4 linked regions of the Arabidopsis thaliana genome follow. The protein of the gene in region 2 interacts with the protein of the main gene of each other region in a pairwise test. Each region holds a gene or a part of one and is shown on either strand. Other genes may lie near its edges.

Region 1 (8,430 bases), on a different chromosome or scaffold from region 2:
TGAAAATTGTAACAAATTTCTCTTACAATTTTTTTTAAAAGCAAAACCTAATTTCTGTGCATAAATATATCTAACCTCGAATCCCAAAAATTGAATTATTGTTTCAGTAAGAAAAGAAACCCATAATTTAGGAAATAAACCGAATTCCCCTATGTAATAGAATTACGTACCAAATCATTGTTGCTGAGAGAGAGACGCTTGAACGCATGGAGACAATTTCGATATTTGAAAACTTGTTTACTAATATATTGTTAGATTTTAATAATTTGCATTTGTTGCACTAACCAAAAATTGCGACATATTACCTATAGTTTGTTTTTTTTGGGGGCAAATTACCTATAGGCTATATCACTGCATTTTGTAATCACACGTAGTCACATAGGACATATATATTGTATAGTTCTGTTTATTGTATACAAGAAAGTCATACTCGTGCTATGTTCAGTTATATGCCTTAATATTAATAAGCCAAATTTAACGATATAAATATAATTTACTAAGTTTTAGGACTTGTATATAAGTTGTACAGTAGTACTACTTGTTTAAAATTATACGTATAAGTGTATAATTTTTTTTTCTTTTCTTTTAAAAATTTAGTTTTATAATATTTTAAAAATATTCCTAGCAAAGAAAGAATAATTCATATATGCTGACTATCACGTCTAGTTGTAGTAGTAGCTACACAAATACTTGAATTTGAATTAATAAGTATATAGATAAATTGTACAAGTATCACCTATTATAAGTTTGCCAACCCTGTTTTGCGCATGATAATACGGCAGTAACAGTGTCCATAATCAATAATAACACAAAATCTTATTAAAAATTCGTATTTTATTTAGAAGAAAAAAACTAATTCATCTATGAAAATTAGAAGGAGACGTAACCGCTAACTAGTGTAACTGGACCTGCCTTCGGTGTTTGGTAAGATTCCGGTACTCTGTACAAAATGGCTGAAGCTAAGGCCCACACTATTTGACCGTACGTCACTGGATTGTTTCTCTAACGACTTTGATTCTTTTACTCGCTTGAGTTTGAATGTAAATGTCTGATTTTTTTTTAACAAAAAAGAATAAAATATATATCTACATAAATCTATAGTTTTCTAGCAATAATATTGTTGTCAATTTGTGAAATGTGATGGGTTGCTTGCATATGCAAAAGTCTCTCGATCGAAGTCTTCCGTTTATTATGAACCACACAAATGGTTTTAAGCAAGAAAAATATCTACGAGTAAGATCAATTTTGTTATGTGTAGAGATTATCATTTGTAACTTTATGTATTAATACAATTGCACGTAAAGCTTGACCTTCTAATAGAAATAAATTTGATAGGAAAAAATCTCTAATACCAATTGCAATTTTTTTGTTGTTGTAATATTGCAGTAAGCTCTCTCATTTAAGCCTTTGAACAAAAAATAAAATAAATATCAGATTTATTGTTGAGTTTCGCGTTGGTATTTCAAGAAAAGAATATGGTCTTTGGCTTTTGACCAAAAAAAAAAAAAGAATATGGTCTTTGGCTCTTTGCGACGCCTATATGCATATATGATATTTGTATGACTATAGACTCATAGTTAATTTATTTTCTATTCCATTTTAACTTATCAGTGTCACTAATCAAAGCTATTATTAAACGGTCTATTTTAAAACAAACCATTTTGTCTATATGCTATTTCATATACGACGATTATAATCGCTTCTTTAGAACTAATAGCCAATAATAATGTATATTTCGACTGTTCACCATACACCGCCACCTAATTCTTCTAAAACATTTCAATTCATTGACTAAATATCGTCATTATTTTGCTTACACATTTTGTATATGTTCCTCCAAATTTGTTCACTAGAGTTTTCAACTAGAACAAAACAACTACTCTGTTGGTGAAAGAATGAATATGCATGTGTGAAGTTTATTGCTCAATATGGATATAGAAGATGAAAAGAAAAAGAGTAAATTGATTTCTTTACCAAAACGTGTCCAGATGTTATGTCAATATGTAATTCTGACATGACCAGAACTTCTGTAACGCATTTAACAATCACTTCCGAAAATAACAAAAACAAAATTCAGGAAAGATGATGAAATTGTAAAAGACAGACTGTAATGGCGTCTATTGAGACAATGACTCAATCTGTCTTAAACCGGAAAGTTGACTCGTAAGCCATATTGATTATCTTTATTAAATTTTCCTTTTTATTCTCTTATTCTCTCGAAGTAGTAACTTTCTTTTGCATCAAATAAAGAAAATATGAAAACGCACCCCTAAAGTTTATCTTATTTTTTTTATTAGTGCCTCTAGTTTTCTAATGTGTAGAGTCAGTGACACACTTTCTTTTTACTTTATATCAAGATTTGATGATATCATATGATTTTAGACTTCTAATTAAGGTTTTTGTAAAAATTGTCACACTACTTTTTTGAATTCTTTCACTTTTTTTAACAAATGTTATTTAGAAAACATAGTCAATATACAGATCCTAAATGTAGATAAAAATTTACAATTTTGACTAGCAAGATCTGATTTGATATGTTTCTTATATATCAATTTTTACCCTTATTTGTTCCATTTTACTTTGATACTTTTTTTTATAGACAAATTTAGATAATTTTATTTGATAAGTCATAGCATTTATTTTTCTTATTTTTATACCAAAATTTATTATAAATACATTTTTCAAACAACACATATACAACACAAACTGTCATTAAAACCCAAATTTTATATATATATATATACCAAGCTGGTAATAATATGATATGATCGTAATTAGCAAACATGAGATCATGCAATAAAAGACTTAAGACAAAAAAATGTGCCACGCTGGTAATGCAAATTTTGTCGTGGTGTGTAGATAAACAAAAGTTTCAGACTTAAATCAAACATACATAAACGTTAAGGGTCTTACTTGCAAATTTGAGTTTTACCGGTAAAAAAAAGAGTAACAGGAAACGTAAAAAGAAGAAGAAGAACGCTCAATGGAGAAAAAACGTGTCCCGAAGTGGCAAATCACGCGACGAGTCTCTTCTTCTTCTTCTTCTTCATGCGTTTTCTCCTTCCTTCTTAAAAGCTCTCTTCTTCCTCCTCCTCTTTTACCAATACATCTATTAACTCTCTCTTCCCTCTTCATCAAGTTTCTCGAGGAGAGTGAAGAATTTGGTTTTAATTATTCTTTGATTACCCTTTTTGTGGTGTGGTTTTCGTTATTTCGAGGAGTGATAATAATACCGTTATGAGTCATCACTTTACATGTGTTTGATCAATTACTCTTAATTCACTTTCTGGGTTTCTTCCTTTGAATCTCTCCTCAAAGAAAAGAAAAGAAAAATGAAGGAGGAACAAACAAGATCTCTGTTTGGAATCTCTTTGTCTGATAAACCAACTTGGCAACAGTTTCTCATTTGCACTTCTGGTTTCTTTTTTGGTTATCTCGTTAACGGTGTTTGCGAGGTTCGTTTCTCTCTTTTTTGCAATTTGATTCGAGAATTTTGATACATAATCAATCAACGTTAATGTTTTTGTTTGTTCTTTGTCATAATTCCACATACCCAGCTCCTGAATCTCGTAAATTTATAATTTTTTTGCATTTTCAATCTCTTGCATGCTAAGTGTTTGATGTTTTGTTTCTGAGAGAAAAAAAAACAGAGGAAGAAGAAAAAATTGCATGACGAACTAAACTCTCTCCAAACTTGTGAGAGATCACAAAAAATCTGTGATCTTTGTAAAGAAAACAGATTTTAGAGAATGTGATTGGATCTACAAGTACTCATATATGATCATTGACTTGATTTATTTTTCTTTGGTTTTGCAGGAATATGTTTATAATCGTCTTCAATTTAGGTAAAAGTCAACTTTTGATTACTCTTTTAAGTTTTAGATTTGAACAAAAGTTAACAATGGGATTTTGCTCTGTCTTTGTAGCTTTGGGTGGTATTTCACGTTTATACAAGGATTTGTCTACTTGTTTCTAATCTACCTTCAAGGCTTTACCACAAAGCATATAGTTAATCCGATGAGAACTTATGTCAAACTCTCTGCTGTTCTCATGGGTTCACATGGTTTAACCAAAGGATCTTTGGCTTATCTCAATTATCCAGCTCAAATCATGTTCAAATCCACCAAGGTAATAGATCCACATTTCCCAATTACAGTCTCAATGAGTTTAAATTGAGTTTAAAGAATGATCGGAATGACCATCTTTCGGATGTTTTAGGTGTTACCGGTGATGATAATGGGAGCGTTTATACCCGGTCTTAGAAGAAAATACCCAGTCCATGAATACATTTCAGCGTTCTTGCTTGTTCTTGGTTTGATCCTATTCACATTAGCCGATGCGCAAATGTCTCCAAATTTCAGTATGATTGGGATTATGATGATAACCGGTGCATTGATCATGGATGCTTTCTTGGGTAATCTGCAAGAAGCTATCTTCACAATGAATCCTGAGACAACTCAGGCAAGGAAACTAAAGAAAACACGGTTCTTTCGGTTTTCCTTTACCGGTCTGTTTTGTTTCGTTTCTGAGATTAACTCTTGTTATGTGTGTTGTGCAGATGGAGATGCTTTTCTGCTCAACAGTTGTTGGATTACCGTTCTTGTTCGTTCCCATGGTTTTAACCGGAGAGGTTTTTCGTGCGTGGACTGCGTGTGCACAAGTAAGTAAACAACCTCTGTTCTCTTTTTTCTGGTTTGACTTTTGGTCAACCTTTAACCAAACCAAGTTAACCTTATGAGATAGTCGTCCATTTTAAGTGAAAGTGACAAAGAGTGGAACCTTTTATTTGGCTTTGAAAGTACTTCTATAGATTTGACTCGGTTTATGATTCAAACCGGAGTTGGACTCAGTTTAGAGAAAAAGTCAAAATTTGTAGGATTCTTGGTACCACGAAATGAGAGAGATCATTGACCGACGACGTGCCTCTGAATCTGCCAAACTTTTTAAAAGCCAAATTGTCTCTTTTAAATTCATTGATTCCATAACTTAAGTACCAACGTGGAATATTTTATAGTCAAACGGTTTAATGATTCATTGGTTGACATATTTAAAACCAATTGTGCTTTGTTTATATTTGCAGCATCCGTATGTGTATGGAGTGCTTGTATTTGAAGCCATGGCCACATTTATCGGTCAAGTCTCCGTTCTCTCGCTTATTGCTCTCTTTGGAGCCGCCACAACTGCCTTGGTAAATATCTAATCTTATCTTTGAATACTCATTTGTATTTTAATTGACTCAATGGTCTAAAATCACATTTCGTTGTGTGTAGATAACAACGGCTAGGAAAGGGGTTACATTGTTGCTGTCGTATTTGATATTCACAAAGCCGTTAACGGAACAGCACGGATCAGGCTTGCTGTTGATAGCAATGGGGATTGTATTGAAGATGGTTCCAATGGATAGTAAAGCTCCGGCCAAGATTCCGGCGAGACCAGCGGTTAGGATCGCAGGAGGCGATGGTGATAGAGAAGAGGACGAAGAAAGGAAGTCATTGGTTTGAGAATGTGCCATGTATTTATATATATTTTATCTCACAAATTCAAAGGGTTTATAGAATAATGTTGGATGAAGGAGACACAAAATAGAGTTAAAGTTGTGTCAGAGACTTGTTATTAGATTCTAAAGTGAAATTGCAAAAGATTGAGCTGTTAAATTGTTAACTATGATATGAATTATTTTTGTCATCACTCTCAGAAGAAAGCATTATTCGTCTCAAAGCCTATTCATAAAGCGGGAAACGCTAATGACTACATTCTAAACGACAGGATCAGTGAAGAACCTGATTCTATCTAAGATCCTCCAGTTTCTTTCTCTGATCTATGAATAACAAACTTATCGACAATCTTTACGGTGTTGACAGGATCCTGCTGCAATGTTGTTGCACACCATTTGCTTGGAAACCTTCTGTGATGACTCATTTTCACAGTCGATCTCGGCTCTGCATCCCAGTCCTTGTCCAGCTTCCATTCCTTTGGCACCTGTACTCATTCATCACATACACTCCTCTGTTTAATTCTATAATCACAAACTTTTTCTTTTGTCATTTCGAGAGTTGTTTTTCTCACCTTGTCTACTCCGAGAGTGAAGACTTCAAGGTCTCCATCAGGTTTGATGTTGGAAACGGGTGAATGATTTGTTAATTGGCGATCCGAAGTGAAGAAAATGCTTCATCAAAGTGTATGTGAAGCCAGTTGATGGATATATATAAGTAACTTCCAAAAACCAAAGATACAACAGGGGTTGAGAAGAACCCAAAAGTAGAGGAACACAGAAGCATAATAGATGGCTTGCTCCGCTTCGAGAAAGTGACTCCCATTCCTTTCTCGACAGATGTTAGTCCGTGTAACCGCCATCACCTATGTCAAATACTTTACTTTCGGCTGAAAAATAGTTTTCTATTTCAGCTAAAACGAAGGCTAAGTTGACGATTTTACCTCGGGAATATCAAATGCTGACATAAGATACTTGATGCAGGCAGGATATAATCCGAACGTCCACTGCTCAATACGGTCTCGGAGGCCAGTAGGGTCCGGAAAATGTTCATTTTCTACTGATTTGTACCACTGATACAATGTATGATACCCTGTGTAGCAAAAAGTTTGAAAATCTCAAAATCCATTAAGGTTTGATCACAGATACAAAAAAATATCAATTAAAGTAGGATCACATATTTTTTGTCCACTTGTGTCAATGACATTGTAATGAGGAAAGCCACAACATTCTATGGAAAGGAAACTGACCGGAGTTTGCAAGGAGCTTATGCTGAATACAGATTTCTATGCCGAGTTCCAACAGCAACATAAGAATCAAAGCAGCCATCAGGTGTGCAGAAACATGAAGAATTCCAATTAACAGTCGTTTCCTCCGAGATATTTTTGAGGGAACAAACATAATTGCAGTTATTAGCAACATAAGAACCCCGGTGAAAGACACATATGACTGCTCTGTTACATACACAAAGGAGCTCCAAACTGTGCCAAAGAAACTCCCCAAGTGGCCAGAAAATGAATCGCCTCGTAAGATATGGCCTAGCTCACACTGAAACCAACAAGGAATGAAGATAAAAACTTTCTCGTGAGTGCAAGTGAGCATAAAAATTTCTTCGCACAGGAAAAACACTACTACAGATATGCAAGGCCTGTCTCAGTTTGACCATTTAATAGTGGATGCTGACAATGTGTACCATTTTAACAAAAAAGTCTTAATGACCAAGTCAGGCTGCATTGCTGAGAAAATAAATATAAAATGGAGAAACAAGAAACAGTTCATATGAAAAAGAGTTTGATAAAGTCAAAGATGTGTAAAACCGCACCTGAGGGAACAAGGAAAAGACCAAGAGAAAGTATATGATGCCACCAATGAAATCAAATTGCCAGTTCTTTTTCCTGAACTTTAAAATATTTCCCAGAGCAATCTGCAAATAACAGCAAACAACATAAAATATCAGAATGCAAAGAAAAGAAGGCGAATCAGTAACCGTGGATAAGAGGTTCAAGAAACAAGAAAAAGTTTACCCTGCTTGAATCTTCAAATGAAGGATAGGCAGATTTACTTTCATAAGAAGCACCATAAAACTTTGAAAAGCAGCGGAACACATGGGTGGGATGCAAAAAAGCCCCTCCACAGCCATTAACAAGGAGATGTGGGACATGAACAGGTCCATCTGATTGAGTACATGAATGACGCATATAATGATGCAAATCTCCTGCCATTCTAAGTTTACACCTTCCTTTCAAAAATTCGAATATCAGGTGTCGCATGTTCTTTCCAGTATCGTCTTTCCAATACCAATCAAGAAGCCAGTTCGGCTCATGTGTGATAATGATCACTGCATCATTCTCCCCAACCTAAATGAAAAGATAAAAACATTGATCAAAGCAACAAAATTAGAATTCAATAGTATCAAACAGAAGACACCAACTCTAATATTGTCGTTTCACAAACCAAAGAAAAACCCAAAACCAATATCACAGAACATCATAAGTTGTGAACAAAAGAAGAAAAGAGCTCGAGTTGATGGGAATATATTTTGTATAGCATCCGCAAAGTCTATTTAGCCTGAGAAAGAAAGATGATGTTGAATCTACCTTCTCCTTCACTAATTTAGAAAAGAAATTGAACTGGTACACATCAATATCACCATGAAGCGCTAGATCCAAACCAAACACCCACCATCCTTTAGGTAGCTGCAGGGCAAAATAGCTTTTCTTTTGGGGCATAAACCAGCCACCCAACCAGCTTTTATGGCATACATACCTCATGAAAGTATTTAGTCCATCGAACCAGTCTAAAAAGTTCAGTAATAACATTACAATTAGAAGCAATACCAAGACACACCAAGTATGCATGTAATTATGTGAAACATATCACTAGAAAGAGAAATGAAGTTTAAAGCTGAAACCCACCATGGTTTCCTGGGATAAGAAAAC
Region 2 (9,187 bases):
AAAGTTGTTGCTTTTTTAGATACAATTGATTCTATCCAAGGTTTTGGGTTATTTGGAAGATGCCAAGTTAGATTGATCAGATGGTTTACCTTAGGAAAATTGAACGATACAAGCCTCGGTTGTGGAAGTGTTCAACCAGATTAAAGAGATTGTACCTGTTCAAGTTTACAAATGGTGAGTAGATTCTGAATTACTGGATAAGAAACCCTTTGAAAAACGTTTTAAGCTTCATAGTGTCACCAAGTTTAGTAAATTACCCTCCAGATAAACCAAAGTAAGCTTTAATCTGAGATACACTCCATGAGATGCTCTCCCCTCTTGATTCTTTAATAGCTTGTTCAAAGAGAGCACAAGAAGAGATATGTGCACCAGCCGATTGCCCCATCAGATAGATTCTACACACGCAAGAAGACACTGGTTCAATCACAAGATCCCATGGAAGATAGAAACAAAAACCAAGTTGATGAGCTCCAACCTGTTAGGATCACCTCCAAATGCAGAGATGTTATTGCAGACAAATGAGATTCCTTGAGCTGCATCACTTACCATATCACTAATTGTCCCCTGAGGAAAGTTTCTGAACCAAAGACAGGGGATTGCTTGGTCAATGCATTGGATACAGGCATATGATTAACAAAGATAAATTCCCAAATAGCTCCAAGCTGATATAGATTTGATAGAATCCAGGACAAGTAACACTGGTAAGAAATTGACTACTTTGCTTACCTGTAATCTAGACATGCCACAATTATGTCCCTTTCTGCTAGCTGTAGTCCCAAGAGAGAACCCCAAGCTTTGTAACTAAAAGGATAGGCAAGTATGAAACTATTGAGTGTGCGACTTTTATCTTGTGAAAGAAGATGTATCCACAAAGGACGCTAGTGTATTATTATCAAAGTTAAACACGATACGAGGCCCACGAATTGCTTACCCGATAATCCAAGCTCCACCAGTAACGAAAACTACAACCGGCTTCAGGCCATCACTCGTTGGCGGTATGTACAAATCCAGCCTGCCAGAATAATCGAATAAAATGTACTAAATACCAATCATTGAAGAAGGCAAGATTGCAGAGACTGAGATACCTATTCCTTGGATGACCTCCATAAACTATACTCCTCCTGACTTGAGATGAGAAAAAATAAAGATATGCAACTGCACAAGGAAATAGCAAAAGCTTTGTTAGTGTACAAAAAACAGCTTGTTAATAAGACAGAGCAAAGAAGATGGGGTAACCTTGAAGGAAACCAGGCATAAGGAGCATTGCATAACAAGCAAGAGCAAGTAATCTTGTGATCCACCGGTAACCTACCCTGAACAAAAACTTACAACAATAAAACAAAACTTTCCTTACAGAGATTCCGACAAAAAAATTGAAACATCATCACATGTCCTAAGATTATTAATTACCGGAAAACTCATTTAGTTATCATAAAACTGTGGTAAGAATAATTCATCGAGAAGACTAATTGTGAGCTCTAGAAACAGGACATGAGATACGTCTCGGCTAAAAACAAATAAACGATGCCATGAGAGGAATGAAATTTACCCGAGATATCCAAGAAGGTTGAAGCTAAGTCGAGTAATGAGATACGTCTCGGCAGCTGCATGGCCTATGTCGCGACCGAACGACTGCTGCCGGCAAATTCGAGGCGAACCGTCCTCAGAAGAATTCCCGGAGACTCTTCTACGAACATGTTCCGGTGAAGATAATCTGTTGGAGCCGTGAAGCAGCTCCATTTCCTCGGAATTCGCTGACCAAGCCTCTCTGTTTTCAGACATCGGACGGCATCGTTCCGGAGACAACTGCATCTCCGCCGTGAAAGTAGTCGGAGAAAGATTGGATCTCGAATTTTGTATCCTCCTCCTCCTATTCGTGTCTTGTGCTTTTATAATTGATCGGTTCTTGTTTTTTTTGTTTCAATTTTCAAATATTTGAAAAGCTTTCACTCATGTGCGGCTCTCTCTCTTTTTCACAGAGGAATGTCAAAACGACGTCGTATTCCGGTCCTCTTCTCTACCAATTTTTTTCCTTCCTAATGAGTATTATTAATGTGAATAAGTTACAGTATTCTGATTTGGTTTCTTTAATCTAGTAGTGATTACGTACTTTGAAGAGTTCTTTTTCTTATTTTGTGTATTAAACAGCAGTTTAAAGGGTCCCGCTCCATATATTAAATTGTGATTAGAATTGCGTTCGAACACAATACGCTATTGGTGGTTTGATGTCTCGACACTCGTATTTCGTATAGTTGTGCATAGACGCCACGTGGTATTGCTTGCTGGTACTAGACTTTGGGAACGTGTTCGGTGATTTAAGCGGTGGCACGCGCACCAATGAAGGGAATATGAATCAATGATTAAGATACCTTATTCCCAAATTTGGTTTATCTAAATAATACTCCTCTCCCCCCCCCAATGTACATTATTTTAGATTTCCTTTTTTCGAACAAAAACACTCATCCACATGTGTAAACGACTCACAACCAATCAACTATAATTTCTTTAAATAATCACCCTTTCAATATATAATAATTTTACACAATGAAACCGATTTTCTAGGGCCAGATGATATTTTAGATGATTTTTATTTTTGAGCAAAAGTTCTACAATCACTCATGGAATCAGATATTATAAAATTTAGAACATTTTCATCGGTAATTTCTCACATAATTTTTTATTGACTAAAAAATATAAAATAATAATAAAGTATGAGAGAGATAAGAGAGAGATTGAGAATTGTTTTTATGCAGAGAAATTTTAGAGTAATGATTGAGAGACTATATGTATATGTATGTGTTTATAATTGGACAGAAACTAAATCATAATAAAATATTATTATTATTATTTTTTTAGAAACTTTTGAAGTATCTCACCAATGAAAATGGCAAGGTGGAAACTGGAAAGGCAATTAGTCACATATAACTAAACTAGAAACCAAAAGTAATAAGAGATTTTTATTTCAGCGATAGCCAAAGGAAAACGTTAAAAGAGAAGAAGAATCTACTTTACGCTGAATATGAAATTAACATGGATTGTTGAAAGCTATTTAATCAATCTTCTGGTTTTTCAAAAGGGTTTCAAAAGTCACCTCTGCATTTTGTTTCTTTTTATCACCTGAACCACCATCTCTGAACGGCACTGACCGGAGTATTCAAGAAAGGAGCGTAACGTTGGATAATCGGAGTCACCGTCCTCCCTATTCTGCTCCACGTGCTCTGGTGGTAACCAGCTGTTACCGGTGCTTGATACATCAGCTTCAATAGCTGCCACCAAAATAACAAAACTCAGTTCATGAGAACAACTCTCAAGATCCAACCAACAATCCTGCAAACAACCTAGTAGATCTTTGTTTTAGGAAGAATATGAGGAAAAGGTTTTTGAACTTGACAGATTTTATAACAAGAACACAAGATTTTTAACCAAAAAAAAACAAAACACAGTTCTCATTACTATCCTGATGGTCTTAGCCCATGTAACACTTTCAGTGACAGAAGATCATCAAAGCAACAAAAAAGGTGTTATTACGGAAATGATTCTTCCTATATGTTCACTTGGATCAAATTAAACAAAGAAAACAGGGGTTCTACTTGGGAATGTTGAGCCATCACAAAGAACTGATGACTACAACCAAAAGATGATACGTACCTGCCAGTACATGAACGTCTGTATAATGTTACGTTGCCATCTGCAGTAAGTAAAATGACAATTTTGTTCAGATAAGTGAAACCAGCTAATGCAAAGCTGGGAACTTAGTGAGAATATAAACTTAAGTGCGAAAATAAACTATTATCGCTTCTAACAGGTTCAAAGAGCTTACGAGAGCAGAGAGATAATCAGAAGGAAGCCAATGGCTATCTCAGCCTGCGATGACAAGATGTTGAGGGTAGTAGTGTTTGACTCCACCCACACACAAGGGTCTTCCAAGTACTTTCTGATAACCATTACAGAACAAGACACATGTACAACATAAGCATCAGTAAGAATCCACACATGGAACCTACTACTACATTCAAACCTGCTAATCAGCTCGATGCACCTACCTGTATATAGTGGACCGACCAAAGTTACGCCTCAAGAACTTGGCTACTTGTTCAAGTGCCCGGCACAAGATGGGAATCAAAGCAACTGCAACAGATTGATAATGAGACTAGTCATAAGAATGTACGTGATTTGAAGACATTCACAAAAGAGTTTTCAATAAATTCTTACACTTGAGACAGAGATGTGAAGTGACGAATGTAAGGCAGTAGATGAAGTAGATGAAATCCTTTGCTGCCACAATTGATTGAAAATAAACTTGCAGCCCTTGCATATTCCATGCCCTTGGCCTCTGCAGATTATAAAATTACAATTCATAAGTAACAAAAATTTCGCATTGCATGATCACTAGAGAGAAAGAAAACATGAAATTCACATGGCGTACCCCGTATAAGGAGTATAAGGAATATAGAGATGAGCATGCAGTTCCCATGAAAGATAGACGATAAGCCCTATTTGAGAGGTTCTTTGGTATTAGAGGTAGCACTGCCAGCACAGCTATAACAAAAACCTGCAAAAATGTAATGGATTTAGAGACATGAAACGGGAGATAAGTTACGTGAAGCATTCCAGACAAAAAAGCATTTGTCACATCTAGTTCATGTCTAAGTACACAACAAAGATTCAGCAAGACAGGAGAACATAAAGACAGACAATACACTATGCACCATCTCATTACTGTCCGTGAAGTTAAGGAGTGAACAGCAGATTGCAACAACAATCCCAACTCACAGGGCTAACAAGAGCTAGATCTTTTTATTAAACTTGTGCAATAAGAGGAAGAAACTGCAACTGAAAAACTTTATCTTACCCAAGCATTGACTGAAAACTGAATCGTCTGCTCATCCCAGCGCATTGAACTTGGGGTTGCACCAGTCGTAGCAGATGGCCCAGAGGTTCGAGGAACCGATCCTGAGGCACACAATTAGGTAAGTTTTTGGTAGTAATAAGAAAAGCTCATTTGAGTTCAAGAATATATCAGACAAAGAAAGTTGACCTGAGTTCCGTGAACGAACTTGTTCATTTGCATTAGAAGATGCAGTTGAAGATGCAGATGTAGCAGTTGGCCTGGCAGATTGTGAAGACGAAGATGAAGTCGACATAGGCTCCACAACAAGATCAGGATCCTGCAAAAAAGAAGGACATGGCAAGCACCCTAGATTTAGAAACAAATCCAGATTACATCTTCATAGGGAAGAGCAAAGATGAACAACACGAAGGCTTCACATATTATAAACAGGACCTAACGAATATTCAATGAAAAGCCCTACCCTCCGCTTAATAACCTAATCACGAGGAGATTCGGACCCAAGGACTAAGCAATTTAGCAGAAAGAACATCAACAACCACACTTGTAAAACCTAAGATTCAAAGTCCACACTAAATCCCCAAATCAGTAGCGCACACAACACAAAGTCAAACTCGAAACTCAAAGTAATGAAGAAAATGGATAAGCAAATTCAAGAGTAGGGAAGATAGTAGTAAGTACGATGTAGCGTTGGTAGAATTTGCGCTTGAAATGGTCGACGACCTCGGGACGAGAAGCCATGTGAGGAGGGATGAGGATATTGGACCAGTAATCGGCCCATCGAGCGTCGTTTTCGTAGTCGAAGGCAGCCGCCGCAATTTTCTTCAACCGCTGGGAATCTTCGCCGCCTTCCGCCATGGATGAGATCGCCGGAGAGAGAGATTTGGATTCGACTTTTTTTGTATGGGTTTTGTTTCTTTGGTCCACTTTTCCTATACTTTACTTACTACTAGTATCTGTGGACTTTTGCAAGAGCGACGACGTTTTGGCAATCAGTTGTTTATGATATTTAATATAAAAATAACTACAACTTTGCAAAAGACTGGAAACTTTGAGGGTTTGTATGCAATTTATCCAAAGAAAGAAAATGAACAAAACAGAGCATTGGGAAAGAAACCCTAAATCGTGAGAACAGAGAAGGACTAGCGTGCGAAGAACAAGCAGAATATGACACAGTTATATCTAGCTCAATCACTGTTTTCAGCATTATGTTCTATCTTGTTAAAAGCTTTAAAAAGTCTTGTATTATTTGTCGTGTATAATGTTGTTTATCGTACAAGTTAACTGAACAGAGAGATTACTTAAATACAGACAGTCCACTATGCGTAAACTAAGTTATCATTAGCTGTTTCTATATCGTAGCATCTATAAAAAAACATCATCATCATTATCTTCACCAATATCAATCCAACGATCGAAACCTGAAAAGAATCAAAACTAAAAAGATGTCTGCCCTTCGGCTAAGAAACGCAAACACTCCGGCTCCGGAGCTCGACGAGTTATCCGATCAGACACCGTCAGAATCCCGGGTGCTCAAGAGACAGATGTCAATGTCTCAGCGAGCCATGTCAAACACCCTGACGTCAGCAGCCAATCTCTCAAACCTACTCCCAACGGGAACACTCCTCGCGTTTCAACTCCTAACGCCGGTTTTCACTTCAAACGGCGTTTGCGACCACGCAACGCGTTTCCTAACCGCCGTTCTCCTTTTCCTCTTAGCCGCGTCTTGCTTCGTCAGCTCCTTTACCGATAGCGTTAAAGCCGACGATGGAACTATCTACTTCGGTTTCGTAACGTTCAAAGGCATGTGGGTCGTTGACTATCCTGACCCGTCCGGGTTAGGTTTACCCGATTTAGCCAAATATCGGATGCGGTTCGTTGATTGGATCCACGCTACGTTGTCGGTTTTAGTGTTTGGAGCGGTTGCGTTGAGAGACAAGTATATAACTGATTGCTTTTATCCGTCGCCGGAGGCAGAGACGAAACATGTCTTGGACATTGTTCCGGTGGGTGTTGGGGTTATGTGTAGCCTTTTGTTTATGGTTTTTCCGGCGAGACGCCACGGAATTGGATATCTTGTTACCGGTAGCGTAGATCGCCGATGATTTATAATTAAAACCAATTTAGAAACGGTAGCGTTTGCATGGTGGGTTGACTATTTTCGTTTGTTTTCTTGTTTGTAAAGTTGTATAATTTGTATATATACGTTATGACCATTATTCTTTTTATTAAACTAATAAATTTTAATTTTGTGTCAAATATATATAATTTTCCTAATTCAAATAGACTTTATTTATTTGAATTCTAAAATCATTGCATGGACTTTTTGATGTAAAATACATTAATGTATGTACGGTTGACATGTTACTTGGAAAACGTTGACTATTTTACTTCATTTGTACCATAAACTTATATTAGATCCATATCATTAAATATTCAATGTGTTAATTAAGATCTGAAATTACTTAAAAGCTTATATCTGATTATGAAAACCGTGCCAAAAAGGGAAGAGATCTTTCTAAATACCACATCGTAACCAAACATACTCGTATATAATTACAAATGAACAAAAAGGGTTTAACTGAGAAAATTTAGATTCTACGTACTAGTATTTTAATCTCTTTAAATCTCTATTTTTCAACATGTCTAGTAAAAAATCGTTCCATGAATCAATTGGACCTGGCAAACACCAATGTACACAATCATTATACAAGATAACTTTATCTTCTCGTTTATGTCCGAATCTGCTCGGATGTCCATCTGGTCTTAACAACATCATCTGTGTGACATCTAGTAATCTCAAATTTAATCCGTCATTTCTGTTTTTGTCTCTGTTTGCAATGCGAAATTCATCGAGTTGAATGCTGTGTGTCTCTAGATTCATACCATCTAACTCTGTCTCATTGCTCCTATATAAACACAAAAGAAACCCAAAGGAATATATAGACGTTTCTATTAGGATGTGACGAATGAAAACTCAAACAACAACAAAAAAAACACAAAACTCATAATATTAAAGTATTCTAGAAGAAACTAATATTTTAGAAAATGTCGGATGAACAATGTATACCTATATGGTCGCGTTTTCAAGCAATTTCCACCTTTGTCCCATTCTCCACCTTCGAAATGTGAAGGAGCAAATGTCCTCAGAAACACTTCTCCTTTAAAATTCTCTAATCCAAGAATTGTCTTGAATGTTGTTCTCAATGCTCTTCTATACGCGAAATGTGCCCCGACATTTCTGACTCCGGGAATGTAGCAATACAAACATCCTATCCTTTTTTGTTTGTCGAAAAGGAAGAGTGGTCGGAAAAACCATTGTCCAGATGAGATGATTATGTAATCGAACTCACCGATTTGGGAAGCCCAAGTAGGGTCAGGTTCGTCGAGGTAGAGATTGTAGAATGAATTAGGACCTGTCGGACCGGTTTCCGTTTCTTCAGCGCGAACCAAATGTGTTGTCCAAAATGTGGCGATCGTGAAGTTGTACGTTTTGTATTTCCATCGTTGGAAATTAAACTCCTGTTGTGAGTCACCCTCAGGATGTTCCACCTGAAATTAATATCTAAACCAAGGTTACTTTTGCATCAAGTAATGTATTAAACGAGTAAGTATTGTCATAAAATAAATAAAAAAGTTGGATAAGCATTGAGAGAATTGGTACCCGAGAGAGTAGGCAGATCAAAGACTGAACGTGGTTTCTGCTAACGGAGTCACCAACGAACGCCATTCTTGTTCCTCTAACTATTTCCAGAAACTCGTAAGGATCAAACAGAGGGAGATCACATTCTTTAGGTTTCCATCTCCATTTCATGAAACCTAAATCAGGTCTTCCATACTTGATGCAGTTTTGGTGTTCGTGTATCGCCCTGCATGTCGTGTTTGTGTAGTACGGGGCTTTAGGGTTTGGGATCCACTCGCCGGAGAATATATCGCATTTACGTTTTCTCTTTTTCCGGCGGTGCTCTTTCTTAGGAGTTACTTGATGATGACCATTCGATGATGAGATGGATAGACGATCATTGTTATGCAAAGATGATGACTTGGGATCATGATATGTGTCGTCGTAATCATTATCATACGACGATGGTTCTGAATCTTCTGTCTTATAACTATCTGATGATGATGATGAATGGTTATACCTAGATGGAGAAGATATTGCCGACGACGATGATGAATTCGATAAATGTTTGTATGTTGATGTTGAATAATAGAGAGGATAACCAAAAAAGAGATAAAGGATTGGAGCTATCGTAAGTAGAATAAGAGGAAATATCACTAGTCCTATTCGTAACTTTGTCGCAGGAAGTTCCATCTCCTTCTTCCGAGAAAGTATCA
Region 3 (7,488 bases), on a different chromosome or scaffold from region 2:
CTGTCGCAAAGCAGATTGTGTTAAAAAAAAGTGGATTGGGCTCAAACGCAACTTGTCCAGCCCGTGACAATTACCCTATACGCAAGTAAGAGTAACGTATCACTGGCAAAAGTTGGTATTAGTTACGATATCTTTGTCATGGGGGCATGCATGGGCATGGCTTAAGAGTTAAGCCTTAAGAAGAGTCCCACACTCGTGACTCTCATGATCGCTTGTTGTTTCTTACGGGCAAATACATTTAACTTTATTCTTCATTTATTCACCTATATTCTTTTGGATAATAACTTTTCTCTATATAAAATAACAAACATCGTACGTTTCATTTATTTACAACAAGCGATGAGAATTAAAAGGAGACCTTAATTGATGATACTCTTCTTTTCTCTCGGTTACAACGGGATTATTACAGATAATGATAATCTATATGGATGCTGACGTGGAAAAACAAAATTTGGTGAAACACGTCAATTAAGCACGACTTTTCCATGGCTAGTGGCTAAGATCGTTTCATCACATGGCTATATCATATAATACTTGGATGAATTCAAAATAAACGACTGAGAAAATGTCCACGTCACGGCGCACCGCTTTGGACTTAAGTCTCCTATAATAAATACAACACCAAACATTGCATTCCACATTAATTCGTCTTGTGCAAAAAAAGACACTTCTTAAGCTTCAACAAGAAAGAAATAGTATTCGCATAGTATTAGAAGATGGATTTTTTCAATCAAGCTAAAGCCGTAAGGATGCGTAACGTCCATGATAAGTATCTAACAGCGGATGAGGACGAGGAAACGGTGACTCAAGACAGGAATGGTTCCGACAAGAGAGCTAGATGGATTGTCGAGCCGGTTCGTGGTTCCTTTGAAGTGATCCGTTTAAGGAGCTGCTACGGTAACTACCTCACCGCTTCGAATGAGCGGTTCTTGCTCGGAGCCACTGGACGTAAAGTGGTCTTGTCTAAACCGGCTCGACTCGACTCCTCCGTAGAGTGGGAACCGGTGAGAGAAGGTTCCAAAATGAAGCTCAAGACTAGATACGGAAACTTGCTTCGAGCCAACGGTGGACTTCCTCCATGGCGTAACTCTGTCACGCATGACACTTCTCATGTATTGGATTCTTTCTTGTGGGATGTTGATGTGGTTGAGATTTTGGTGGGAACGACGACTCCGGCTCCAGCTCCAGCTCCGGTGACAACTCCTCCGCCACATAGGAGGCCGTCGTACACGTATTCTCCGGTTTCTAGAACATCTTCAGAAAAATCCGAAGAAGAGGTATTAATTAATTCGACTAGGAAAATTATCCGTTACACTGTTTCACTTTCTTTTTTTAACATTTATCTGCGGAAATAAAAACTGAAAATAATATCCAAAATTCTAAATATCTGAAAAAACTAGTGAAGGGATGGTATTAAAATATTGTTTCTTTAGATATTTATAGAATATCCAAAGATTTTAGTAAACTGTATTACGAAAATATCTATCAGATTTTGTCAAGATTATCGTCTTAACATTTTCTTGGTTTTGGTTTGACTAGTTGACCGTGCCGCCACCGAAATCTGAAGGGAGGCCTATTTACTACCACATCGCGGACGAAGAAGGACACGTGGAGGAAGAATCAGCCGTTGGATATGCGTTGACTTTCAAAGGAAATAGCGTGGAACAGTTGACGCAGGCGTTGCAAGAAGAGACTAGTATGGATGATGTTGTGGTCTGTACACGCCATCCTTCAAACGGCAAGCTGTTTCCTCTTCGTTTGCAACTTCCACCTAATAGTGGAACAATGCATGTCATTCTAGTACCCTCAAGTACTTAACGGCAAGCTGTGTGGTTCCCCTTTATTTCGAATGTATTATATAAGTAGACTAGTAGTTGAAGTATTAGGCTCAAGATTGAGAGTTTGGTCCTTGCCTAGTTGCCTCCATTAGATACGAGTGTGGAATTAATCATAGAAAGTTCAGATAGACTATTATTGTGGATTTGATTTAATCTTTCATTTTATTGTACATAAGCTTATTTTGTAAACGAAGCATTTAAGTTTCGTCCTCCCATTTTTTATGTGAATTCGCCATAAAAAATTGTTTGTACTATAAAAGTTTTTTTTTTTTTTTTAAATATTAAAGTGTAACCCAATCATTGCGCAAGTCTTCACCAACTCTCCCACTTTGATAAAATGTGTTACTAAATTGTTCTTCTACTAAAGAGCTATTGACTTATTTCAAAAAATCATATGAAAGATAGAAAAAACGATACAAATCGCTGATCATATATTTTATATTACATGAGACACGTACATAGCAAATCCAACATCCAATTCCTTTACAACACAAACAAGTTTTATTTTGTTGAATCGTCGTTCAAACATTTTATCTATACATAGTAGTAAACTATATATTCTTGGCGTAAGGTGATGAGGAGTTTTGTTTGGCGTGTTAGGAATTCAACGTTCAGAAGAAGGATTGTGTGTATTTATTGAGTTTCCTCTCTAACTCATCAACCTTCACACCCACAACCATGTCTACTTCTCGGCCTCTTTTCATGAATACAATCGCAGGTAAAGTGCTAAGGTTGAACTCCATCCACACGCTCTGTATATCAACCAAACACTATTTTATAACTCAAAAGCAAACACAAATTTTGTTGAAACCTTTTCTTTAGACTTTGAGAAAAAAGATGAAGAAAAGGAGAATGATTATTTATTACCATTAAGACATCGACATCAATCTTCACGAACTCAACATCGGTGTATTTAGCAGCCAACTCTTCGAGCTTTGGTTCAAGGGTTTTACATGGTCCACACCATTTAGCTGTGAACTCGATCACCAGCTATATAAAAAACATGAAAAGTGAATGTTCATTATGATATTTTCAAATTAAGCCTAAGAGCAAGGTTAGTTGCATTGTGCTAGGAGTTTCAACTCGAAAATAAGAAGAAACCTAGAGTAATATGGTTGTCCCTCAAAATAATAAGATAAAAAGAGTAATTGGTTGAATAACTTGCGAGTGATAATTTTCAACTGGTTTATCTCATTTTTCTCTGATTTGCTCATCCAACTAACGTTGAATGGGATGCATAATTTATTTCACTCTTCTTTTTTTGAATCCCAAACTGTAAAATTTGAGAGGATTTTTGTTTCACTGAAATATGTAACCATTTGCAGCCAACTATAATAGCCTAACTTTGACTCGATAGAATGATCCAAAAGGGATATGATTCGACTTTAGAGCGAGTTTTTTTTTAGATGAGCCAGAAGAGTCATTATCTTGTGAGTTGTGTTCAAAATCTCACCTCATCTTTAAACTGAGATCTGGAATATGATGAATATGGACCAAACTACTTATTTACCATTTAGATTGAGTTGGAAGTTCATATAAGTTAATGCATTATTGTTATGTTATAAATGTCTCGAATCTGGTTATAAGAACCCTAGTTCGAATACTTTTCTAAAATTTTAAAAATAGAATCTAAAGCAAAAATGGCTTAACTTAGATTATAGATCGCATTAGTCAATATATTACCAGCTTGTTGGTGTCTTTAAGAGCGTTGAGCCTAGATTTCCACTGATTCATGTTCTTGATCTCCACAATACAAGGACTGTTGACTTTGAAAGGATAAATCTCAGGTCGAGGTGTCCATGGCTTCGTTGAACGGAAGTGGGTTACCTGAAATCTCTGGTCTGGAGTAGAAACGTTAGCACCCATTGAGTGTGTCTCTCTCTCTCTCTAAGCAGAAAGAAGCAAATGGTTTTGAGTAGAAGCTCTTAGTTTGAGCACAAGGAGAGCGGAAGAGTTGGCTTTTATATATAACGTCAAATATTCTCTGGTGGACCAAGTAGCCGTAATTCGTAACCAATTTTAACACTACATTTTCTATTGGCTCTAAGTTGTAGCGCAAAACTATCATATGAAGTAAGCGGAAAGTTGCATGTAAACCTACTTTAGTAATCTTAAAGTCCAAATTAAAAATCAAGTTGTCTAGAATCAGTTCGTGAAAACTATAAAGTTATAATTGGAATTCTAAATAGCTGTCTTACGCTATATCTATCGCATGAGTCATATCCAATATATTGAATAAATCTGGAATTGTATAAAACGTTTTATTATATTGTTTGTTTTAAGTTTAGGATATAATTTATTTCTATTTATTTATCCATCCACTGATTATGCAACCTAAATTTTAAGTTCAACGTGATATCCACAGCTATCTCTCTTCTATCTTTTTTTTTTTCGTTAGTGTGAGTTACTTTTTAGACTCGCAAGAGAGACAACAATGGTGGCAGCAGAAGTGTTTGACCCTTTTACAGCCGTGAAAAAAGGATTCCAAATCTTTCACAATATATGATTCCCTTATAACTTTTCATTTTAATTTAGTTGATTTTGTATGAAAGCTTCTTTTGGATTTTCTATTTATTAGCTAACAGTAAAAAAGCATACAAACCTATATACTAGTTATTTATTTTTGTCAAACCCCAATATATTAATTGAGTGAATAAACGTTAAAACGGAATTCAATTGTAGGTTAAATGAATGATGGAATATACAGCATGTGGCAAAGAGGTAGACACAAAATAAAGCAGTAGATATTTTTGCTTCATGCCAAATATGTTTTGGACTTGGTGTTCTAGAAGTCTAATATGATATATATATATATATATATTTTTTTTTTTTTTATGTACCCAAGAAGTCTAATATTAATATTAACAGTAATAGCAGTAGTAGCTTTTCTTTACAACATATTAGTTGGGTTGTACTCATTTACCGTCCGTAATCGATAAAGGATGAAACTATGCCTAATAACGTGATCCTCCATAGAAATGATCAATTAAAACTATACTGTTTATATTTCTATCAAGTCATAACATAGTGTATATGATATAGTTCCAAATGCAATCCATCTAACTAGATTACTTTTATGATTTTAAATATACTTGTTAGAGATGGTTTTCTGATTCCAGGCAGAGAGTATGATGACAAAGTTATAAAATAAGACAAAACTGTGAACTATATCTAACACTTCTACATAATGAAAGGTAAAATTTTATTAAATATTCTAGTTCTTACATATTATGATACATACATTGTCATAGTAATTATTCAAACAACATCGACAATCTTCTTGTTGTCCCTAAGGATAGTCTATTAAATCATTTCATCGATTTCTTCGAAGTCATCTCAACATCATCGGAGGACTTGTCCTCCTCAAAGTCTTCAATCGGTAAACCGACCTTGTACCGGTATCCCCGAGCACAATACCAAAAGTAAACCAGATTAACCACACCCAAAACCGCAATCAGATAATAGAAGTAATCCAATTTTCCCGCGTTGAGATTCTTGTTTAGCCAATCCGGACGATCATGCCCACCGGAGAATTTATGAACGACAGTCACAAGGAAACTACTAAGGTAGCTCGAACCGGCGAACGATAAAGAGAAGAGAGAGTTAGCGATACTTCTCATGTGCTCTGGAAACTGACTGTTGAAGAACTCAATTTGTCCGATGATATTGAATGCTTCACATAGTCCCATGAGAATTAGCTGCGGCGAAAGCCAAAACACCGACATTGGAGTCATTCCCGTTGGATCTCCGGCATTGATGGAGCGTATGCGTCTCATACGCTCCACAATGCCCGCAACGATCATAGAAAAGATCGCGAAAACGATCCCTGTTCCTATCCTTTGGAGGAGTGTGATTCCGGATTTATGGCCGGTGATTCGCCGCATGAATGGTACAAAAACGCGGTCGTAGAAGGGAAGAAAGATGCCGATTGTGAGGAGAGAGATGACGGAGAGTGAACCAGCCGGAATCTCGAATTTAGGACCTAAGTTTCGATCCATTTTCAAAGCTTGAGAGACCGTGAAAGTGCCTTGTGTTGTCATGGCCGCGAGTGAGATTATTCCGGCCGACCAGATAGGAACAATTCGGATCAAACACTTCACTTCTTCCACTTCTTGGACGCTGCATAACCGCCACTTGTCTGCGGGAGGTCCCTCGGGTGTTAGGTCACCTTCTATAACCACCGCGGCTTTGTCAAGACACCTAATTTTATGCCATTTCAGTTAGACTATAGGTTAATACAAAATCATGTAATCAGTGTTGTCTTAAAACCACCTTGAAAGTGATAAGCAAAAAATAAAAACAAAAATCATATATTAAGTACCTGAATTGGTTACTGCGGTGTAACTTGGATAACACGCTAGACTTGATGGCTGGGTCGTAATAGGTGACAGTGCCGTCATCTTCCGCCGGAAGTTTCAGCTTTCGCTTCTTACGAGCTGCCACGATAACTTGAGCGATCCCAGAGAATATACTTCCTTCTGGTTTAACGTAGACATAACGCTTCATTCCGGCAAAAAACATAACAACCGCAAGAGCCATGAGTCCGGTAGGGATACTAAAACCGATAATCCAACTGACTTGATCCTGGATATACACAACTACGGTCTGTGTAATGATCAGAACCACAGTGAAAGTCATGTAATACCAGTTGAAGAAACTGGCCACTCCTTTAACCCCTTCCTCAGTTCGTTGGTCAAACTGATCAACCCCAAAAGGGATGCTACAAGGTCGTATTCCTCCACTCCCTACGGAGAGGAAACAGAGTCCCAATAGCAAAACTCCGATCTGGAGCTTATTCGGACCGCCGCAACTGAGTGGGTCCTGGCTGTTGCATGATGCTGGGTGGAGTTGAGGAAACGATGCTGTGAGTGTAATTGTTATTAGTCCCTGCATGTTGTCAATGTAATTATAATCAGTCATTATTAATTTTGAAACCGATTCTTCATTATTAGATATTCTATAATATATAACTTGAAACTGAATGATTGTTAATTAATATTGAAGAAAGCAAACAGTAGTGTGGGATATATAGATTGAAGTTATGCGAACAAATACAAACAATTAATAAAGTTTACAATAGTCTTAATTAGGTTTGACTTCATATGATTGAAAAGTGATGTTACCTTGATTAGGTGAAAGTGACAGTGACGTAGAACCTAATATCATTTATTTCTGTTGTAACCCTAATATAGTAATATGAGCATTTGTAACAGTTTAAGTTCAACGTTTAACTAATTACGAAAAAGACAAAAAAGTGCAAGAGAAATTAACAAGTTGGATGCGATCATAATTCTATAATTGTGAATGAAACAGACACTAGAAAAGTAACTATTATTATATACGTAACGTCACTGTGATACTGACCAAATCTAAAACCCAACTAGCTAGCTAAATCATCAAGAAACTCAAACACTCAATTATTGGACAATCTCATTGTCAATAATCTATATTGACCACTTGCGTATCTCTTCCTTTTCTACGCACATCTCTTTATCTCTTAAACAGAACACGTTCTAATACGTAACTCCTTTATTGGAAAATGTTTCATCAATGAACAAAAGATGTTTACGTGAGATAAGTATTTTCTTACCATTTTTTTTGGATGTTATATAAATTTTCAAGGTAAATACCGACAAGAATAAGTGTACTA
Region 4 (7,333 bases), on a different chromosome or scaffold from region 2:
AGTAAGAAGCGCACACACACAACATATTTCTTTCACTACCCAAAGAGATGGCGACATCGGGAACATATGTGACGGAGGTTCCATTGAAAGGATCGGCGGATAAACACTACAAGCGGTGGAGAGATGAGAACCACCTCTTCCCCGATGCCATCGGCCACCACATCCAAGGTGTCACTGTCCACGACGGTGAATGGGACTCTCATGAAGCCATCAAGATTTGGAACTATACATGCGGTAAAAATACATTTATATGGAATCCAAAGAATGGTGCTAACTTAATGAATGAAACAAATATGTACGCATATATGTGCAGATGGGAAACCGGAAGTGTTCAAGGAAAGGAAAGAGATAGACGATGAGAATATGGTGATAACGTTCAGAGGACTAGAAGGTCACGTCATGGAGCAGCTTAAAGTGTATGATCTCATATATCAGTTCAGCCAAAAGTCTCCCGATGATATCGTATGCAAGATCACAATGATTTGGGAGAAGCGAACCGATGATTCGCCTGAGCCTAGCAACTACATGAAGTTCCTCAAAAGCGTTGTTGCTGACATGGACGAGCATGTTCTCAAAGCCTAAATCCCTTTCGAACCATCGTCATCACCTATCATCATCATCATCATCATCATCATACATCTCCCTTTGTGTGTGTACTTGTATGGGTGTTTGAATCTTTCATTTGCGTAGTACAAAATCATTTTTAAATAAATTATGGTTTGAGTATACAGATGTTACAATGGGCCTGGGCTAAGCAGATATCTCAAATTATCCAAATGTTTTTCTTGATCATGCCATTGAAATGGTCATCAAGAAAACACACTTAATTGCTTATACATATATCGAAATAACTACAAAATTACAAATCATTCACAATAGAAAGGATAAAATAGTTCACTAAGTGACAAAAAATTTAAACGTCAGTCATACCCAAAATTTAGTCGTAACCGTATTTCAGAGAGTACCCGAACCGTTTTCAAAAAAGAGTAAATAATATTGCATATGAAAAAATTATAACATATTTTTATCTTATTAAAAGCAATAAAAAAAGCTCGATGATACGTAAAGTTTTGCGTCTATCTTATTATATAAAGTATGGTTTTCAAAGTTGCTAATTCATAGAATTTTGCCACGTGTCAAGTCAAACAATCAGATGTTTATATGTGTCATTCCAAATTTTACTTTTTTATTCTCTAAAAAAATAAAAAATCTTAAAAAGTAAACAAATTTACATATACTAATTTATATGTCTATATATTTATAAACAATTTACATTTATTCAACAAAAGGAAAATTAACAAATTTGTCTTTAACTCATGTAATCATAAGTGAAAAATAAAACGATCAGATGTTTACATGTGTCATTCCAAATTTTACTTTTTTATTCTCTAAAAAAATAGAAAATCTTAAAAAGTAAACAAATTTACATATACTAATTTATATGTCTATATATTTATAAACAATTTACATTTATTCAACAAAAAGAAAATTAACAAATTTGTCTTTAACTCATGTAATCATAAGTGAAAAATAAAACATTTTGAGAAAAATAGCTTAGCTTATAGGATTTAACTTTTCATTTATTTTTATTTATTAATTTTAACTCATTTAATATTAATTTGCATGATGTAAAATTAACTTACAAGATTACGACATATATACAAAATATATTTTCAACAATGTTTGGTTTCTAAATATTTTTGTGGATTTCTTTTTTTATTATTAATTATTAGCCCTAAGCGTTTGGGTATTCGGATCGGGTATTTCGGGTTTGGATTTTTGGGTTTAGAAGTTTAGGACCCGTTAAGGTAATTTAAGATTTTAGGTCGGGTTCGGGTTCGAGTTTATTTATATATTGAAATATCAAATTTTGTGTGCAAATCTATTAAATTACTTGAAAATTTCAAAAATTCCCAAAACAACACGAGTAGTTTTGCTTGAATATATCTAAAAATACACAAAATAACTAAAATATCAAAAACATCCTAATATTTTCTATATATAAGTATAAATATAACTAATATATACTTATATTTGAGATATGTTTGAATACCTATTCGGGTTCGGGTTCAAGTTTTTCGGGTTTTGAAGTTTAGACCCGTTCGAGTATTTGAAAATTTTGGGTACACCCGCCTAAATAGGCGGGCCTTATCTAGTTCTTAAATATATTGTAGTTATTAAATAACCATAAAGCATATTTAACCGTAATCGTTGTAACCATAACTGTATTCAACTGTAATCTTAACCGATGGTTAATAAACACCGTGGTCATGCCTACGCCTACGTCATAGAAGAGAATGCAAATTGCAAAAGACAAAACAAAATCAAAACAGAAAGTGAGAAATCAAAAAGATATTCAAATGAAAACATACAAAAGAAAGTCTCAAATTTTCCAGCTTTTCTTCTTGATTATGCCATTGAAAATGGTCATCAAGAAAACATACTTGAGTTGCTTATACATATGGAAACAACAACAACAGATTGATACACAACAACAAAAAAAGAAAGAAAGAAAGAACAATAATAAGTTTAGGTAGAGGAAGAGCCTCCACCTTTGGAAGAGGAAGTGATACCTCTGCAACCAGCACCTTCATGCCATTCAAGCATGATCTCAATCTCGCCACATTCGACATTGTTAAGTCTAAGGATCAAGTCTTGTGTGATCTTACCATTGTTCCAAACAATGCTACTCTCATCAGATAAACAATTGTGCCTTGATGGTTGAACCCTTTTGATAGCACACCCATTAGGTAGCCTCAAAAGCTCCATCCCCATTTTCAAAGCCTCTAAGTATGGTTGAATGTCTATGTTCGCATCTCCCATTTTGTCATCTCCTGTGAACTTGTCCCAATCAAACACTGTCTGAACGATTTCAACAAAAAAACAACAATGTTATCCCCAAGAACAGAACAAAACAAGATTTGTCTTTTGTCTGAATCAAAAGAGAGAATCTTTTTAAGTTTACCAAGCGGATTGGGACATTAGGATCTTTGATAGCAACAGTCATTTCTTCATTCCATACTGGGTTACAATTTTTTTTCACCACACGTGTCTTCAATGTCTGAAAGATTTCATTTTTGGTTTTGTATTAGACAAAACAAAACAGAGGATTTGAAGAAAACCCAAAGCAGAGGAAATAAAACAGAGGATTTGAAGAAAACCCAAAGCAGAGGAAATAAAAACAGAGGATTTGATAAAAAAAACCAAAGCAGAGGAGATAAAACAGAGGATTTGAAGAAAACCCAAATCCTGAATCTATATGAACAATTCAGGAACAGAGAAGAATCGTTATTCGGAGACTTGATTCATATAAGGCAATTTGTTCTCTATCGATTTCAAGGAGAAATGGAACCTGATCGGCGACGTTGAGAACGATGTAAGGATCGCTGCTACGATGGTCGCGAATGGCGAGATTAATCCCTCTCTTGACGTGGATCGTGAGCAATCCAAGAGGCTTTTGATCCATTTGAGAAGAAAGACTTTTTGACTAGGTCCGGTGCTGGAGATGGTAAAGGAGGAAGAAGAAAATTTTAAGAAGAATTTGGAGATGATGCTGAAGATGAATTGGTGCTTGTAATCTCGTCCCCAACTATTCAACACGTTCTCGTTCCCAATTGCTCTTAATTTTTCTTTTATAAAAAAGTTTAGCGAATTATAGTATCATTTTTTCAAATGATTGGGTAACTTGTTGTTCTTAAAATTTATTTATTCACACTAATCAAAAATGATTAGGAGTTTAGGACACGAGACTAATCTAATAATCGACTCGAGAGATAAAACAATAGTCATGGACTGAACAAAAGAAATATCTCGTCACAATGGGCTCGACGACTCCCTTTATAGATAGGAGACTAATCTAATATGGGTCTACTTTTGAACGTCAGTGAAGTATTACTACCAACTTGTAATAAAATCACAATAATGGGCTTGAGTACTTGATTAACAGGCCCATTTAAAAGATTTTACGTTTAAGAATCTTTCAAATTTAACAAACAAAGAGATTATTGCATGGAGAGACGGTTTTGGTGCTTGTAATTTTTTTTCTTTTTTTTAATAAAATGTTAAATTATACTCAAAAGAAAAAATGTCGGTTGTACAACGAGTGCATCATGGTGTTTAAGAGACTAAGCGTAGAGCTAAACTTTACAAGTTAACTACTAGATTTTAACCAAAACTGAAAGCCTTGGTCATATCTTCTATCACCCATAAGTTTGATTGCTGAAAGTTGATCACGTATTTGCTTATCTATCCATCGAACAAGTTGAGCTGCTTGATTCGGGTTGCGCCCATGCTTCCTCCTATTGCGCTCACGCCATATTGCATAGACTGAAACTTGAAAGATATACCGTGCGATAAAACTTTCTACTCGATCTTTCCAGTTTTCTTGAATCTTTGTGAGTAGGTGTCGCCAATCCGTAGAGTAGCTTGACTTGTAGATGCTTTTTGCTGACATTTCCCAAACTTCTGAGCTAAAGCTGCAAGAGAAAAATAAATGATCTCTTGATTCAGTTGCATTTCTGCAGAGAAGACATGTCCCCTGCAAACCTCTGTTCCAAAGAAGCATTTTATCTCCTGTGGAGAGCCTATCATAAACTGCAAGCCAAACACAAAAAGAAAACTTCGGTGTTGAGTGAGTGAACCAGACCCCCTTGTGCCAAGGGACCTCGATGCCCATTGTTCTGGTATTGTTCCACGTTTCCTTCGTCGAGAAACAATGGCGGTAGTCATCATTTTTGCCTTTCCAAAGAGTAACGTCATCATTTCCATTTCTACGTTGTCGTGTGAGTTCAAGAGCCTCCTCCATCTGATTGAGAACATTATCCCTGTGTCGTCTTTGACGTCTACCATTCCATGCCTCCTCAAGAGTCATCTTTCTACTGATCCCCATATCTATTGTCCCTCTATCTCCAGCAATTTCAACCAGCCTGCCCAAGGTAGACCAGTCATCATACCAGAAAAAAGTGTTGCGGCCAGTGTTTACTTCTTTTTTGCAAAACTGCTTCGCCATATCCTTGAACTTGATAAGTTTTCACCACATCCATGAACCTTTGCTTGTCGATTCTTTGATAGACCAAAAACTTTCCGTGTTTAAAAGATAAGTCTCAACCCATTTTACCCACAAAGAATCTCCTCGAGAGAGTATCCTCCATATCAGCTTTAAACAACTCACATCATTCGCCTCCTTTATAGACCTTAAACCGAGTCCACCTTCTTTCTTCGGCTTACAAACATCGTCCCAAGCTACCTTAGCTTTGTGAGAATTTAAATCCGGACCAGACCAGAGGAAAGTAGAACATAACTTATCGATTTCTCTGATACATTTTCGCGGGAGCCGGAACGCAGCAAGCCAAAAGTTACAAATGCTCCATAGGACCGAGCTTATCAAGTTTAAGCGACCGGCGTAAGAAAGAAATCTAGCTGTCCATGACCCAATCTTCTTTTTAAGCTGTTCTATGAGAGGTAAGTAATCTGCAGCGGTTAGGCATTTGGTTACTAGAGGGAGTCCCAAATACCTCACCGGTAGAGTCCCTACATCAAAACTGAACCGGTCTTTGATCCATTGGTGAGACACTTCTGAAGTTCCCGCTAGATATATGGTTGTCTTCTCCATACTAATTTTTAAACCTGAACTTTTAGCAAAAACGTCAAAAACTTTCACAATACCCTCTATAGATCAAACTTTTCCGTCCGAAAGGATCATGAGATCATCAGCAAAGCTCAAGTGGGACAGACCAATACTTTTACACCGCGGGTGGTAGCCAATTTGCTTTGCTTCTGTTGCTTGATCAAGCATTTTTGATAGAACATCCATGCTTATAACAAATAGATAAGGGGAAAGAGAGCAACCCTGACGTAGACCTCTTGAACTTTGAAAATAGCCTGCCAATTCTCCATTGACTTGCACCGAAAAAGAAGCCGTAGTAACACAAAGCATAACCCAATGAACAAACTCCGGTGGAAAGTCCAAAGCCGACAAAACGTTTTTAAGAAATGACCACTGAACAGAATCAAAAGCCTTTGAAATGTCGATTTTAATAGCACATCGACCCGAAATTGTGTCCTTGTGATAGTCCTTTACTAACTCTGTGGCTAATAGCAGATTCTCAATTAGGAGCCGGTCTTTTACAAATGCAGATTGGTTTCCCGCGATGAAATTCGGGAGAACATGTTTCAATCTATTTGCAATGATTTTTGAGATGACTTTGTAAATGACGTTGCAGCACGATATCGGTCGATAGTCTTTCATTTCTTTCGCCTCCAGTTTCTTTGGGATGAGAGCTAGAATGGTAGTATTAACACCCTTTGGTAGAAAACCCTTTTCAAAAAACGATTTGACTGCCAAAACAAATTCCGCACCAATTATATCCCATGCCCGCTTGTAGAATTCAGAAGTGTAACCGTCTGGACCCGGAGATTTATCATTTGGCATTGAGAATAAGGCTCCCCTTATCTCTTTTGCTGAAACTGATGCAGTGAGCATATCCTTTTCCGCTGGGGAACAATGATAAGGCAATAGAGATGTTAATTTCTCCACTGTTATTCCCTCATAATCATTCGGGATTAGCTGAAGAAATTCTTGAAAAAACCTTTCAGTCTCGTTCTTGATATCATCTTTAGTTGTGGCAGTACTACCATCTTCCTTCTGAATTTCGCGAATAGAGTTTTGAGCTGCTCTAGCGGTTGCTGCGCGATGGAAAGTTTTGTTGTTTTTATCCCCAACCTTTAACCAATGAAGCTTTGATACCTGCTTAAGATACTTCTCTTCAATGCTAGCTATCCTGTCCCAACGAACATAAGCTTCCGATTCTATTTCCATGGCTCTTTGAGATGGATTTTGTGAATTACTCTGTTGCGCCTGACAAAGACTGAGATAGGCTTCTCTCGTCCTTTTCACCAAATTTCCCATTTTTTCCTTCGCCAAGCCTCGAAGTTTTGGTTTAAGAGCCTTGAGCTTCTTAGTGAACCGGAACAGGGACGACGTGGACATGTGTATAGGCTCTGTTTCTCTCCAAAAATTTTCCACCAAAGGTTTAAACTCCTCCATATCGGCCACAGCATTCACAAACTTAAAAGGCTTATTTCCTCTCACTTGTGCACCAGAGTTCATATTTAAATTGATACGACACCGTAAATGGTCAGAACACCCTCCCGCTTCAAAAACATTATAAGATTGTGGGTAGACCATCTTCCAAGCCTCATTCACCATAACTCTATCCAGTTTTTTCCAAATTGGGTCATTATCTCTCTTATTGCACCAAGTAAAAAGGGGCCCGTGAGATGCCAAGTCTGAGAATGAGCAGTAGTTCACCAAAGACTGAAAATCTCGCATACC

Evidence for each region.
Region 1: the proteins of AT3G02420 (region 2) and UTR2 interact in a protein complementation assay, tested with the Arabidopsis thaliana proteins (one large-scale study listed by BioGRID).
Region 3: the proteins of AT3G02420 (region 2) and TH8 interact in a protein complementation assay, tested with the Arabidopsis thaliana proteins (one large-scale study listed by BioGRID).
Region 4: the proteins of AT3G02420 (region 2) and AT2G01540 interact in a protein complementation assay, tested with the Arabidopsis thaliana proteins (one large-scale study listed by BioGRID).

What each region holds. Positions count from the first base shown.
Region 1 is NC_003075.7:12,057,389-12,065,818, reverse strand, and holds UTR2 (UDP-galactose transporter 2), read left to right. Parts: upstream 1-2,960; 5' UTR 2,961-3,332; coding exon 3,333-3,455; intron 3,456-3,816; coding exon 3,817-3,845; intron 3,846-3,926; coding exon 3,927-4,128; intron 4,129-4,218; coding exon 4,219-4,461; coding exon of another isoform or gene 4,462-4,484; intron 4,485-4,530; coding exon of another isoform or gene 4,531-4,558; coding exon 4,559-4,660; intron 4,661-4,743; coding exon 4,744-4,884; intron 4,885-5,080; coding exon 5,081-5,188; intron 5,189-5,236; coding exon of another isoform or gene 5,237-5,270; coding exon 5,271-5,501; coding exon of another isoform or gene 5,502-5,512; 3' UTR 5,513-5,635; downstream 5,636-8,430. Other genes in the region: AT4G23015 (uncharacterized protein), read right to left, coding at 5,237-5,512; AT4G23000 (Calcineurin-like metallo-phosphoesterase superfamily protein), read right to left, coding at 6,172-6,357, 6,436-6,584, 6,742-7,039, 7,314-7,415, 7,516-7,848, 8,089-8,288, 8,407-8,430.
Region 2 is NC_003074.8:493,066-502,252, forward strand, and holds AT3G02420 (dihydroflavonol 4-reductase/flavanone protein), read right to left. Parts: upstream 5,900-9,187; 5' UTR 5,708-5,899; coding exon 5,531-5,707; exon of another isoform or gene 5,313-5,530; intron 5,169-5,312; coding exon 5,039-5,168; intron 4,954-5,038; coding exon 4,853-4,953; intron 4,553-4,852; coding exon 4,427-4,552; intron 4,334-4,426; coding exon 4,213-4,333; intron 4,129-4,212; coding exon 4,044-4,128; intron 3,935-4,043; coding exon 3,821-3,934; intron 3,689-3,820; coding exon 3,649-3,688; intron 3,267-3,648; coding exon 3,114-3,266; 3' UTR 2,819-3,113; downstream 1-2,818. Other genes in the region: ICME-LIKE2 (alpha/beta-Hydrolases superfamily protein), read right to left, coding at 90-155, 258-395, 476-577, 727-801, 932-1,012, 1,086-1,155, 1,237-1,313, 1,550-1,812; AT3G02430 (transmembrane protein, putative (DUF679)), read left to right, coding at 6,295-6,954; TBL20 (TRICHOME BIREFRINGENCE-LIKE 20), read right to left, coding at 7,455-7,758, 7,920-8,401, 8,514-9,187.
Region 3 is NC_003070.9:26,317,756-26,325,243, reverse strand, and holds TH8 (thioredoxin H-type 8), read right to left. Parts: upstream 3,847-7,488; 5' UTR 3,705-3,846; coding exon 3,522-3,704; intron 2,829-3,521; coding exon 2,706-2,828; intron 2,591-2,705; coding exon 2,450-2,590; 3' UTR 2,242-2,449; downstream 1-2,241. Other genes in the region: AT1G69890 (actin cross-linking protein (DUF569)), read left to right, coding at 717-1,277, 1,540-1,818; NRT1.7 (nitrate transporter 1.7), read right to left, coding at 5,147-6,038, 6,160-6,725. UniProt on the Arabidopsis thaliana protein: Probable thiol-disulfide oxidoreductase that may be involved in the redox regulation of a number of cytosolic enzymes.
Region 4 is NC_003071.7:239,768-247,100, forward strand, and holds AT2G01540 (Calcium-dependent lipid-binding (CaLB domain) family protein), read right to left. Parts: upstream 3,883-7,333; 5' UTR 3,467-3,882; coding exon 3,353-3,466; intron 3,062-3,352; coding exon 2,966-3,061; intron 2,863-2,965; coding exon 2,530-2,862; 3' UTR 2,274-2,529; downstream 1-2,273. Other genes in the region: MLP329 (MLP-like protein 329), read left to right, coding at 48-234, 314-582. UniProt on the Arabidopsis thaliana protein: Stimulates the GTPase/ATPase activities of Obg-like ATPases. Mediates the transient calcium-dependent interaction of PYR/PYL/RCAR abscisic acid (ABA) receptors with the plasma membrane and thus regulates ABA sensitivity.